Linked DNA regions of Oryctolagus cuniculus. The protein of the gene in region 2 binds, or shares a complex with, the protein of the main gene of each other region. Links are inferred from orthologs where the notes say so. Each region holds a gene or a part of one and is shown on either strand. Other genes may lie near its edges.

Region 1 (6,100 bases), on a different chromosome or scaffold from region 2:
CTACACCACAGCGCCAGCCCCTGCCCTGGGCATTTTCGATGCACACTGTCACAGTACAGTAGGTCATCACTGGACGCTGAGGTCCGGGGGCACAGTCCCTATGAGGAATTGTGCGAGCAGCGGGCTACGGAAGACTCAGGCACCCCGAGGCCTGCCCCAGAGCACCCAGCAGGGCCTGACAGGGGGTGCCTCCCGGGACCCACCTGCAGAGCACCAGCCCTCCAGGGAAGCAGCGCGCTGGCCCCGCCTCTTTTTCTCGGAGCCTCATCACCTCAACCTAAGCTGCCCCCTCCCTTCCGTCCACCTCAGGGAGACAACGGCCTAGGGCACTGCTTTCCATGCCCAGTGTTTCTCTGGGCGGCCCCACCTCCTCGGCAATCTGTGGACTGGACCACAGCAGCAGCCTCTGCACTGGCCTCCGCCTTCCATACGACACACAGGTTGGCGGTCACTATGCTGCTCAAGGCCATCTGGCGCTTCCCGGTGCCCTCCCGCTGAAGTCCAAGCCCCCTCAGCCTGGCACTCTGGGTCCTCCCCATTCCTCACCCCTGTACCGAGGCACTCCCAGGCCGGGCTACCCATGTGCCCCCCAGTACACACTACACATGCCATCCATCTCATCCCCTCACTCAGCGCACACCCACCCCATGTGCACCACACACAGCCACACCCCACGTACCCCCTACACACCCTATACACCCCACACCCGTACACATCTCACACACCTCATATATCCGCACCCCGTACTTCTCATCCATACCCCATATGTATCACACACACCCCATATACCCTCTATACCTCATGCACACCCCAACACAACCCACCCCTAGATCCTATACACACCGTAAACCCACACACCCCATCCACAGCACTCAGGACCCACACACATCATACCCGCCCTGCACAAGCCAAGCTAGCACAGACTGGAGCTCCCACAGGGCCTGCCCCCTGCCACGCCCCGGTTCTCCCATGAACACTGCCCCTCTTGGACACTTCACGTTTGCTTGGGCTCCCTTCTGCCTGAATACCCTCCCCCCACCACCATGTTGAGACCCACAGACATCTGTAATGGCCTCTCTTGCAGGGGCTCAAGGGGTCAGAACGTGTGTGTGTGTGTGTGTGCGCGCACACATGCATCACACTGGGACCCCCAGACAGGGCCACTGCCCTCCGCTCTGGTCTGACTTTGGGGGAGGAGCTGGGGCCTGCTGATGCTGCTGCCTCACCCCAGCCTCACCCCTCCCCCCCTCCAAAGCCAGACTCCTCACTCCCAGGCCTTTGTCTACACTGTTTCCCTAGACAGGAAGCCCCTTTTCTCCACTGTGCCCCATCCTTGGGGCCCAATTCACACGCCATGATGACCGCCATCAGTTTTTTTTGTTTTGTTTTTTTGTTTTTTGACAGGCAGAGTGGACAGTGAGAGAGAGAGACAGAGAGAAAGGTCTTCCTTTGCCGTTGCGGCCGGCGCACCACGCTGATCCGATGGCAGGAGCCAGGTGCTTCTCCTGGTCTCCCATGGGGTGCAGGGCCCAAGGACTTGGGCCATCCTCCACTGCACTCCCTGGCCACAGCAGAGAGCTGGCCTGGAAGAGGGGCAACCAGGACAGAATCCGGCACCCCGACCGGGACTAGAACCCGGTGTGCCGGCACTGCAAGGCGGAGGATTAGCCTAGTGAGCCGCGGCGCCGGCCCGCCATCAGTTAAGTTCTTCATTCATGCCCCACACATGCTGCCTTCCCATCGCCCCGGCAGGGCCCCGAGCCTCGGCCTGAGTTGGTATCAGCAGAGCAGGCCCTGGACTTTTGGTTCCTTCTTCTTCACCCCTGTAAGGACACGGGCAGACAGCCCAGTTCCCTGTTTGCACGGTGAGGGATGTTGCCCCGGGGTGCTGAGACCCAGGATGGAGAAGTGAGTGGCTGTGGACACAGAATGAGTCGGGGGTGGGGCTGACCTGAGGACAGCAGGCCGTGAGGCCGCGCCCCTCTGCACCTGCACTCTCCCTAAAACCTCCCTGGGCCGTTGTTCGGTCATGGCCAGGGAGGGCGGCTGGGGGACATGGAAGGTGAGGAGCAGGCCAGGCCAGGGACAGCCGTGGGCCGTCTCCAGCCGAGGCAGGCCCAGGTCCTGGGGCTGCAGTCTGAGAGGTTCTTCCTGCCTTCCCTGCTACCTCCCTGCCACTCAGACTCTCCAGCCCTCAAGACGGCTCCAGCGTCATCTCTTGCAGGGAGCTCTCCAGCACTGGGCCCTTGCTCAGGGTGGAACTGCCACAGCATCGCTTCCCCCAGCGGGGCTCAGGGCACCTTCAGGACGGGGCTCTTGATGACGCCTCCCCCACCTGGCCCTGCTGCCTCGCAGCTCGGGCCTCACAGGGGTCTGGTAAATGTCACCCACTAGAAAAGGCACTGCGGTGAGGGACAGCTGTCCCGGGGCCCCCAGGCAGGACAGGGGCCTGGGCCTGAGCCCCTCTGCTGGCACCTGCTCGTGGCCCTGGAGTCACTGCCCTTCTCTGGCTGTCTCCTCTGCATGGGAGAGGGACGCCAGGGCCCACCCTAAGCCCCTTCTCTGGCATTTGTGTGTCAGGGTCCTAAGCCCCAGAGACAGCGTGAGGCCCTCTCCACACTCTGTGTAACTGACAATAAAGACAGCTCGGCGTTGTAAAGGAAGTTCAACAGAACTTCGATCTTTCCATAACAACTATTTTGTTGGTTTTGAAATATCAATTATTAATGTCTCTCCCCAAACGCACACTCTGCCGGGGCCCCGTGCAGGCTTGGGTCTCTCTCGGTGACCTGCCATGGACTCAGCTCATCCAGACACTGGGGCCCACTGGCCAGCCCCAGCTTGCTTTCAGGGAGAGTGCAGGCTCCCAAAAGCCCTTAAGCTACACATGCTCACGTCCATCTAACTCCCCTGCCAAGCTCCTGACGGAGGCAGGAGACCCCAGAAGTCTCCCCAGACCACTAGGCAGGACCACACTGGCCTCAGGCCTGATCCCAGCCACCTCCAAGGGTTCACCTGACCGTGCCATGTCCTTCCTGGGACCTTGTGGGCAGGCTCCCGGCTTGGCTCACCCATAATGTTCCATGGGCGGCTCAACACACAGAACAGGACCCCCAGGCAGAAGTGCCTCCCTTCCACCCACACCCGGGTTTTCACACGAACCCTGACAACAAGAACAGGATGCTGGCTCCCCCCAAGGCGCAGATCTCAACGCCCACCCTACCCACTCACAGGGGCCTCGCCCTCAGTGGCTGAGCCCCGCTCAGTAAGAGAAGGGAGCTCTGCAGGTGGAACAGGCACCATCAGCCTCCACACGCTGAGAACGATCCGACTTCACAACCTGCCCGGAGTGGATGCCAAGGAGAGAGGGGGCTGACTCCGACCAGACCCCCACCAGACCCTGGGGAACAGGGCAGCAGAACCCTGAGCCGTCCGTCAGCAGTCAACACAGCCATAGCAGCCCTTCCCCTTCCCCAGGGAAGCTCCCCTCACTGATCCTGGCTAGACAGACAGACGTGGGGCCGAGCAGCCTCCAGAGGCAGGAGGCGAAGCCGACTTACCGGCCGTGCAGAGCAGAGAGAGGAACAGCCACATCCCGGCTGGAGCGGAGGCAGCTGCGTGCAGACCGAGCCAGGAGCTGCAGAGGAGCCTCAGCTTCCCCTCGTCGGTTTAGGAGGCCAGGAGGCGGGGACAGAGACCAGCAGGCACCCACGGGCAGGCAGGCACTCTCGAGTAGGCACGTTTCTGCTTGTACACCGCCAGCCACGTGGCTTTCTCAGTAGTTGTGGGCTGGTTCCTGGGAGCTTAGAGCCAGCAGTGGGTTCTGCTCCATCACCCACACTTGGACCTACACCCCTGTGGAACGGTGAGCTGAGTGGCAGACGGTGGCCGTGCAGGGGCAATACCAACTCAGCCCATCGTGTCATCCAAGAGTCCCAGTCCCCTGCCCTGCCCCAGGACCACCGCCGGCCACCCTGGCCCAGCTCCCAGCCCAGGGTCCTTGGTGGCAGGGAGACAGGGATCCCGTTCTTCTAGGAACTTCCCCCACCCCGGGCCAGAAACTGGGCTCCTGTACCTGCCTGTGCACTCAAGGCCCTGAGATTATGGAAGGCCAGGAAAGCAGAAAGAACCAAAGCCCTGGCTGGAATCAATGTCTCAGTTCCACGCTGGCTGGATCCTCTTTAAACTCTGGCTACAGCACCCTGGTGCAACCCCTGATTTAACAGAGCCCTGAGCTGCTCAAGTAACAGAAGGGGTGATGTTCCTGCGATCTCACTGCACACCTCTGACCCACCCCAGCCACCAGAGACCGCAGGGCTGACCGCCTGCAGTCCTGTGTGAGGGCCTGCAGGTCTCCTCCTGCACCTCCGCTTCCGGGTTGTTGGGAAGTGCAGGGGGCTGCTCTCCATCTGCACTCTCCAACACAAAGACATCAGTCCCATGTGGCTACTGAGCCCTTGGTAAATCGCCAGTGCAGAGAACTGGACTTTAATCAGGTTCTCTCTCACATGAACATCTACAGCTCCAGGAAGAGCAGTTTTTAGAAATTTATTTTTCTGAAAGGGCAGGAGGGAAGGGTGAGATCTTCTTCCATCCAATGGTTCACTCCCCAAATAACTGAAACAGCTGGGGCCGGACCAGGCTGAGCTGGGGGCCCAGAACTTCAACCCAGGTCTCCCATGTGGGTGGCAGGGACCCAGCCATCATGTGCTGCCTCCCAGGGTGCACATTAGCAAGAAGCTACTCTGCTGGGCACCCTGCCCCAGGGGTGCACTTTGAAATGCGTTAAATAAAGGTAAGAGTGGTGTTGACTGAATGACTAGATGAAAATCAATTTTATCTTCTCACATTGAAAGCTTGCTCGGCCACAGTTCTGTGGAGATCTGATGACACTTTCAAACATTTTTGCATGGCCTGCTTTGGTCTCACCAAAACACCCATGACAAAATCTTAACGTGGCTATTGGGGCAGAAATGACAATTCACCATGTTCCCCTACGGCATACCATCCAGAAAGCGAGTTCGGGTCTGACTTTGCCCCCAGAGCACAGTGCAGGCGTGCACACCTGCTCAGCCTTGTTGCAGGCTATCTTCCTCCACTCCAGGGCTCCGTGACTCTCCTGCCCCCCTCAGCTCATTTTGAGTCCCAAGGACACTAGACCTGGAGGGGGAGGGGAGAAGCCCAAAGTCATAGAGTAGGTCCTCGGAAGGGCAGAGCTGGACGCTGGACTGAGGAGCAGGACTTCGTGCTGAGAGTGTGGACTTGGGGGCACCTCAGCGGGCAAATTCTCCATCTCTGTAGACGTCCAGAACAGACTCATCCTGCATCCATCGAAGATGTATTCGCCCAAGCTTGTCAGTGCCTCTAATCACGAGAACACACAGGGGCCCTTTAAGCCCAACGGACAGTAACTGCTTGCCCCCAACACCCAAACTTCAGGCCCCAAGGTCAGGGCCAGGCTGTGTTGTGTGACGCTCCTCGCTCGCAGCACCTAGGACACAGCTAGGTGTTCACAAATACACACCCTAACCAAGCAAACCTCAAGGCGCCTCCTAACACATCGCAAACACCAAGGGACCCACTTGACAGCCGTTCTATAGCATAAACTTGACTCTTCAAAAACCACATGAAAGGCTCAGGAACCACGCCAGACAAGGCTACAGAACAGATGCTCCCTAAAGGCAGCGCCTGGCCCTGGCCAGACCCCAGACCAGAAAAACGTGGTGGTAACAGTCTCTGAGAGACCGCTGACAGGACAGAGACCTGGACATGACAAGTCGGCAGCTATCATTCTGATAACATGCTGAACACACTTCCTGAACGTGCTGACTCCACTGTGGCCACAGCACACAGCAGGGGTAAAGCTGGGTGGTGCTTGGTGCGTGGTCCAGACAGGGAAGGGAGGAAGGACAAGATACAACGTGGCACAATCCTCGCTCTATCCTTGGAAACGTTCTGTGATCTTTAAATTATTCTAAATTAAAAAAATTGAACAGAACACTCCCAGGTGGAGGGGTGTTCTGCATGAGGCAGGGGCTTCCCTGGGGTCTGTGGGGTCTGCCCCAGCCTGCCCCTGTTGGAACCACCCAACTGCCTGAGT
Region 2 (4,831 bases):
CAGCGCTATGGCAGAATTGGGACCAGCGGGGCAGGGCGTTAGGTTGGGGCTGGGGTCCCCACTTCAAGCTGTTGCTCCCTCTCTTCTGGCAGAGCCTGTCATCCACTGTGACCCTGGAGCACTCGTCCCTCCCTCCTGGAGTCCACATCTCTTATGAATCCCAGTGTGGGGGTTCCAAGGAGAGGGAGGGCGAGGCTGGGCACCGAGGGCAGTGCAACAAAGTCCAAATCAACCAGACGGTGAGAGCCAGCCAGGCTGGGCACCGGGGAGGTGTGGGGAGTGGGCGTGGAATGCAGGCAGGAAAAGACGGGGAGCAGGCACTGAGAACAGGGTGGGAGCGTGGGGTCGCCAGCCCCCCATCCGTCCTGAGCTTTAATGCATGGCTCCTTCAAAGTGGGTATCCAGGGCATGGTGTTAGCAGACTAGTCCTTGGCCTACAAAGGGGTTGGGTTCTGGGCGGTTAGTGGGCCTGGGGTGAGTGCGTGTGTGACGTGGCCTGAACTCCTGCCCACTCTGCCTTCAGGTGAATTTCTGGGTTACCTTGCAAGCTACTGCCTGCCTCCAGGAGCCCCACCTGCTGAGGCTCCGGGCCCTCGGCTTCTCGGAGGAGCTGACTGTGGAGCTGCACACGCTGTGTGACTGTAACTGCAGCGACACCCAGCCCCAGGCTCCACACTGCAGCCATGGCCAGGGGGACCTGCAATGCGGGGTGTGCCGGTGAGGGCCTCCTCTTCCCTTCACCACCCGGCTCTCCACCCCCAACCTCCAGGGACCAACCCTGGCTCCCATCCTCCCCCTGGAGTCATATGTCACGCCCTGGAGCTGTGCAGATCCGCCCAGGCATCTCTTTCTTGCCCCTTGGCGCTCACTGTACTAACTCCTCTCCCGCACTCTCTTGAGAACTTGGGTTTGGAAGATCGCGCAAGAGATGGGCAGGGACGGTTAAGCCCTCTAAGCCGCCTCTTTCCTCCACCTTCGCCTCCCAGGTGCGCAGCCGGCCGCCTGGGCCGGCTCTGTGAGTGCTCGGAGGCTGAGCTCTCGTCTCTTGATCTGGAAGCTGGGTGCCGGGCCCCCAATGGGACAGGGCCCCTGTGCAGCGGGAAGGGACAGTGCCAGTGTGGGCGCTGCAGCTGCAGTGGACAGAGCTCCGGGCGTCTGTGCGAGTGTGACGATGCCAGCTGTGAGCGGCATGAGGGCATCCTCTGTGGAGGTAACTGGAGCCTTGAGATGGGCAGGGGCAGCGTGGTCTCCCCCAGGGGCATTCAGACTCTGGGTGTCACACCACTGAGCCAAGCAAGTTTGGAGGCTGGAGAGGGACGGGGTGCATGGCCTGCGTGGGGGAGTGCATCTGCCACCCTGCCTGTGCCTCTACCCCAGGTTTTGGCCGCTGTCAGTGTGGCGTGTGTTACTGCCATGCCAACCGCACGGGCAGAGCGTGTGAGTGCAGCAGGGACACGGACAACTGTGTTGGTCCTGAGGGAGGACTCTGCAGTGGGCACGGTCACTGCAAATGCAACCGTTGCCAGTGCTTGGACGGCTACTACGGCGCTCTGTGTGACCAATGCCCAGGCTGCAAGACACCGTGTGAGAGACACAGGTGAGGCCCAGGGGCTTGCATCTTGGGAGTGGAAGGGGGGCTGACAGAGCCTGCTGAACCCCTCCTGCCTGCCCGCCCGCGGTGAACGTTAATGCATTGGCCTCCACGGACAGGGACTGTGCGGAGTGCGGGGCCTTCGGGACTGGTCCCCTGGCCTCCAACTGCAGCACGGCTTGTGCCCATGCCAATGTGACGCTGGCTTTGGCTCCCATCTTGGACGATGGCTGGTGCAAAGACAGGACCCTGGACAACCAGTTGTTCTTCTTCCTGGTGGAGCACGAGGCTGGGGGCAGCGTCGTGCTTCGAGTTAGCCCCCTAGAGGGTAAGTGGGCAAAGGGGTTGTGCACCTGGCAAGTGGAGCCCCGCGTTCATCAGGTGGGGTCTCGTTCATCAGGTGGGGGCTCAGGCTTCTGGCCGCAAGTGCAAGGGCAGGGCGGGATGGGGGAAGCCAGTGGAGCAGGCCCAGGCCCTGGGCAGTGAGGACAAGCTCAGGCCCTGCTGTTTCCTCTGCTTTCAGTGGGACATGGCCCGGCCAGGGAGGCTGGTTCATCTGTCCTGTTTTTCTCACAGGGGGCGCGGACCACACAAAGACCATCGTGCTGGGCTGCGTAGGGGGCATCGTGGCGGTGGGACTGGTGCTGGTCCTGGCTTATCGGCTGTCGGTGGAGATCTATGACCGCCGGGAGTTCAATCGCTTCGAGAAGGAGCGGCAGCAACTCAACTGGAATCAGGTGAGGCGGTGGCCCGCTACCTGGGCTGCAGTGCCCGGGTGGGTCCTTCTCCCTCTCCACCCCCACGAGCTCCTAGGATCCTGCTCCTGTTCCAGGGTGGCCTCCTAGGACTAGGTGAGGGGCAAGGGCACCTGGACTTGCCCTCACCCCTGGGCCTCTCCCCTCAGGACAACAACCCTCTCTACAGAAGTGCCGTCACGACCACCATCAACCCGCGCTTCCAGGAGCCCGAGAGGCCTCTTCTCTGAGGCAGCAGCCAGGTAGGGGCCAACGCGCCCCGTCAGCGGCTGCCGCCTGGATTCCCTGCCTCGCACTCTACAGTACAGAGACTCATCTCACACCACAGCCGTCACCTGCCCTCTGCGCCAGAGGCCAAAGTGGGCCACTCCTCTTGCCACCTGAGGGCAGGCTGGTTCTCAAACTGGACCCTGGGGGGAACACCGGGTACACTGCCTGGCAAACAGCCGAGCGCCAACTCAGCCCAGGGGCAGGCTCCGAGCGCTCAGGTGGTGCAGGCCCGTGGAGGCCACAGACCACACTGGGGAGCTGGTGGCTCACCCGGTTCTGTCCTGCTGTGAACGCTACCTTGGCCGGCTTTCCCTTCCACACGGTCCTCTGCAGAGCGGGGAATCTTACCGGTGGCTTATACGGGCTGCTGTTGTGGTGCGAAGGGTCAGCTGTTGCTTGCCCCACTGCTCCACTTCCAATCCAGTGCCCTGCTGATACCTGGGAAAGCAGCAGCGAATGGCCCGAGTCCTTGGGCCCCCGCCACCCACGTGGGAGACCTGGAAGACGCTCCTGGCTTTGGTCTGGCCCAGTCCTGGCTGTGTGGCCATTTGATAGTGAAGATCCCATTCTGTCTCCCTTGTCACCCTACCTTTCAAAGTAAAATCGTTTACAAAAATGGTTTATAGAGTGCTGGAAGTTGTGGGGCAGTTACCTTCAGGTGGGGAGGGGGACATTCAAACCACTCTGCCTCCAGGGAAGAACACTGCCCACAGGATACTAAGTCTTCCCGAGCAGGAGATAGGACGTAGAAAAGCCTCACTTCCTTTTTATTTAAATACCCTAAATATATCACAACGGAACATACACTGCACTTTAATGGTAAAAAGATACAAGTTTATAACATCTTATAAAAACTACCATTTAAAAGTGATCTTGTTCATCTGATATTTCCCTCCCCAATAGCAAAATAAGTATATTAAAAAAAAAGGGGGGGGTAGGAGGGGCTATGGAAGGGGGACGCCCCCGGGCGGCAGCAGAGGCAGAGCATCTGGGGAGGGGGACAGTCAAGGTGGGCTCTGCTCACCTATCCTCCAGTGTCAAGCCATGGGGCACAGTCAGTAGCTAAGTGATGACGAGAGGCTGCGGGGGTGGCTGGAGGGGAGGGGTGCTGGCAGGGCGTGGGGCAGTAGCCCACCCAGGGACTGGCACCACTTTCTCCCAGGTCCCATTCCACATCCTGGTGTGAGAGCTGCCCTGCCTCCACCTACCCTCACCCCAAACATACCTGAGGCATCTTTCCAGTGCTAGGCTCACCCCAGCCAAGGGGCAAGGGGAGGCACTGGGCCCAGGAGCCTGTGCTGCCATCTTGGTCTGGGTTTCCTGGGGTGTGAGTGGGGCTCCTGGGCCCCAGGCACTCCTCTGCTCCTCTCTCCCATGTTTGCTGCCCCAGGACATTTGCATGCCAGCAACCAAACTGCCCTCCTGCTGTGAGGCTCCCCCACTCCCAAGCCAGGGCGGAGGAGCTCTGGCACAGCCATGTGCAGGCACAAGTCCCCTCCCTCCTACCCACCCAGTTGGGCAGGGAGCCAAGGCCTGCAGGGGCCAGGGCACATTCTGATCGAGCACACCTATGCACACATGGGGTCATAGGTCACCCCCATGTTGCTCCTCACACCCCTCCCCCCCAAACAGTGGCACTCCAAGTGGCAGGGAGTGAGACCTCCTATTTTCAAAAGCACTTTTGGAGGGCAATTTCTAAATGCAGCCTTCCTAGGAGTGGCAGAAAAACCTAACAGGGAGAGAGAGATGCCCTGGGTGCAGGGCCCACAACGCAGGCCTGAGCTGGGCCCAGAACACACTGCCCAGCGCCTCCCCAAGGAGGAAGTCTAAAGGGCGCCTCATCTCCTTTTCCCCTGACACTCGCACCTCAGAGGGTGCAGCCCTCCTGGAATAGGTAGCAGCCAGGTGTCGGGGCCACTGCGCCCTTGCCCCCCATGCATGCAGGAGGCTGCTGCACATGGCCTACGCCCCCAGCCTGCGTGCAGCTTCTCTCAGTCTCCACGATTCTGTCTAAGACAGCCCTCCCCACACAGGTCAGGGCAGGCCACAGTGGTCAACCAAACTCCAGAACCTCCCGTAAGGATCCTTTCTTTAGCAGGAACAAAGAGGGTTTTTAATTTCACCTTAAAAATGTCACGTTCGCAAGCCGTGGTTTGGGTGAGGACCACCCTACCACCAGCCTGCGCAATCAACCTTAATAAACCCCTCCAAAACA

What was found.
Region 1: the proteins of ITGB7 (region 2) and ITGAE are in contact, whole or in part, in a cryo-EM structure (PDB 8ZJF), measured with the Homo sapiens proteins. The link is inferred for Oryctolagus cuniculus from reciprocal best matches to the Homo sapiens genes ITGB7 and ITGAE. Residues at the interface, in NP_000880.1 of Homo sapiens: Val201, Leu202, Pro203, Ser206, Thr207, Val208, Pro209, Ser210, Lys211, Arg213, His214, Cys216, Pro217, Arg219, Leu220, Glu221, Arg222, Leu255, Asp256, Ser257, Pro258, Thr291, Phe292, His293, Thr294, Ala295, Gly296, Asp297, Lys299, Leu300; in NP_002199.3 of Homo sapiens: Phe36, Leu38, Arg91, His92, Arg93, Gly94, Leu111, Arg113, Leu118, Ser119, Ser120, Leu122, Glu196, Glu198, Arg230, Tyr233, Glu234, Phe237, Glu238, Cys239, Asn240, Ser259, Gln260, Val262, Met263, Leu266, Arg300, Leu401, Gln403, Phe406.

What each region holds. Positions count from the first base shown.
Region 1 is NC_091448.1:49,068,421-49,074,520, forward strand, and holds the start of ITGAE (integrin alpha-E), read right to left. Parts: upstream 3,721-6,100; 5' UTR 3,595-3,720; coding exon 3,561-3,594; intron 1-3,560. UniProt on the Homo sapiens protein: Integrin alpha-E/beta-7 is a receptor for E-cadherin. It mediates adhesion of intra-epithelial T-lymphocytes to epithelial cell monolayers.
Region 2 is NC_091442.1:56,212,730-56,217,560, reverse strand, and holds the end of ITGB7 (integrin beta-7), read left to right. Parts: intron 1-92; coding exon 93-239; intron 240-523; coding exon 524-717; intron 718-986; coding exon 987-1,210; intron 1,211-1,377; coding exon 1,378-1,597; intron 1,598-1,710; coding exon 1,711-1,919; intron 1,920-2,167; coding exon 2,168-2,328; intron 2,329-2,495; coding exon 2,496-2,576; 3' UTR 2,577-3,234; downstream 3,235-4,831. UniProt on the Homo sapiens protein: Integrin ITGA4/ITGB7 (alpha-4/beta-7) (Peyer patches-specific homing receptor LPAM-1) is an adhesion molecule that mediates lymphocyte migration and homing to gut-associated lymphoid tissue (GALT).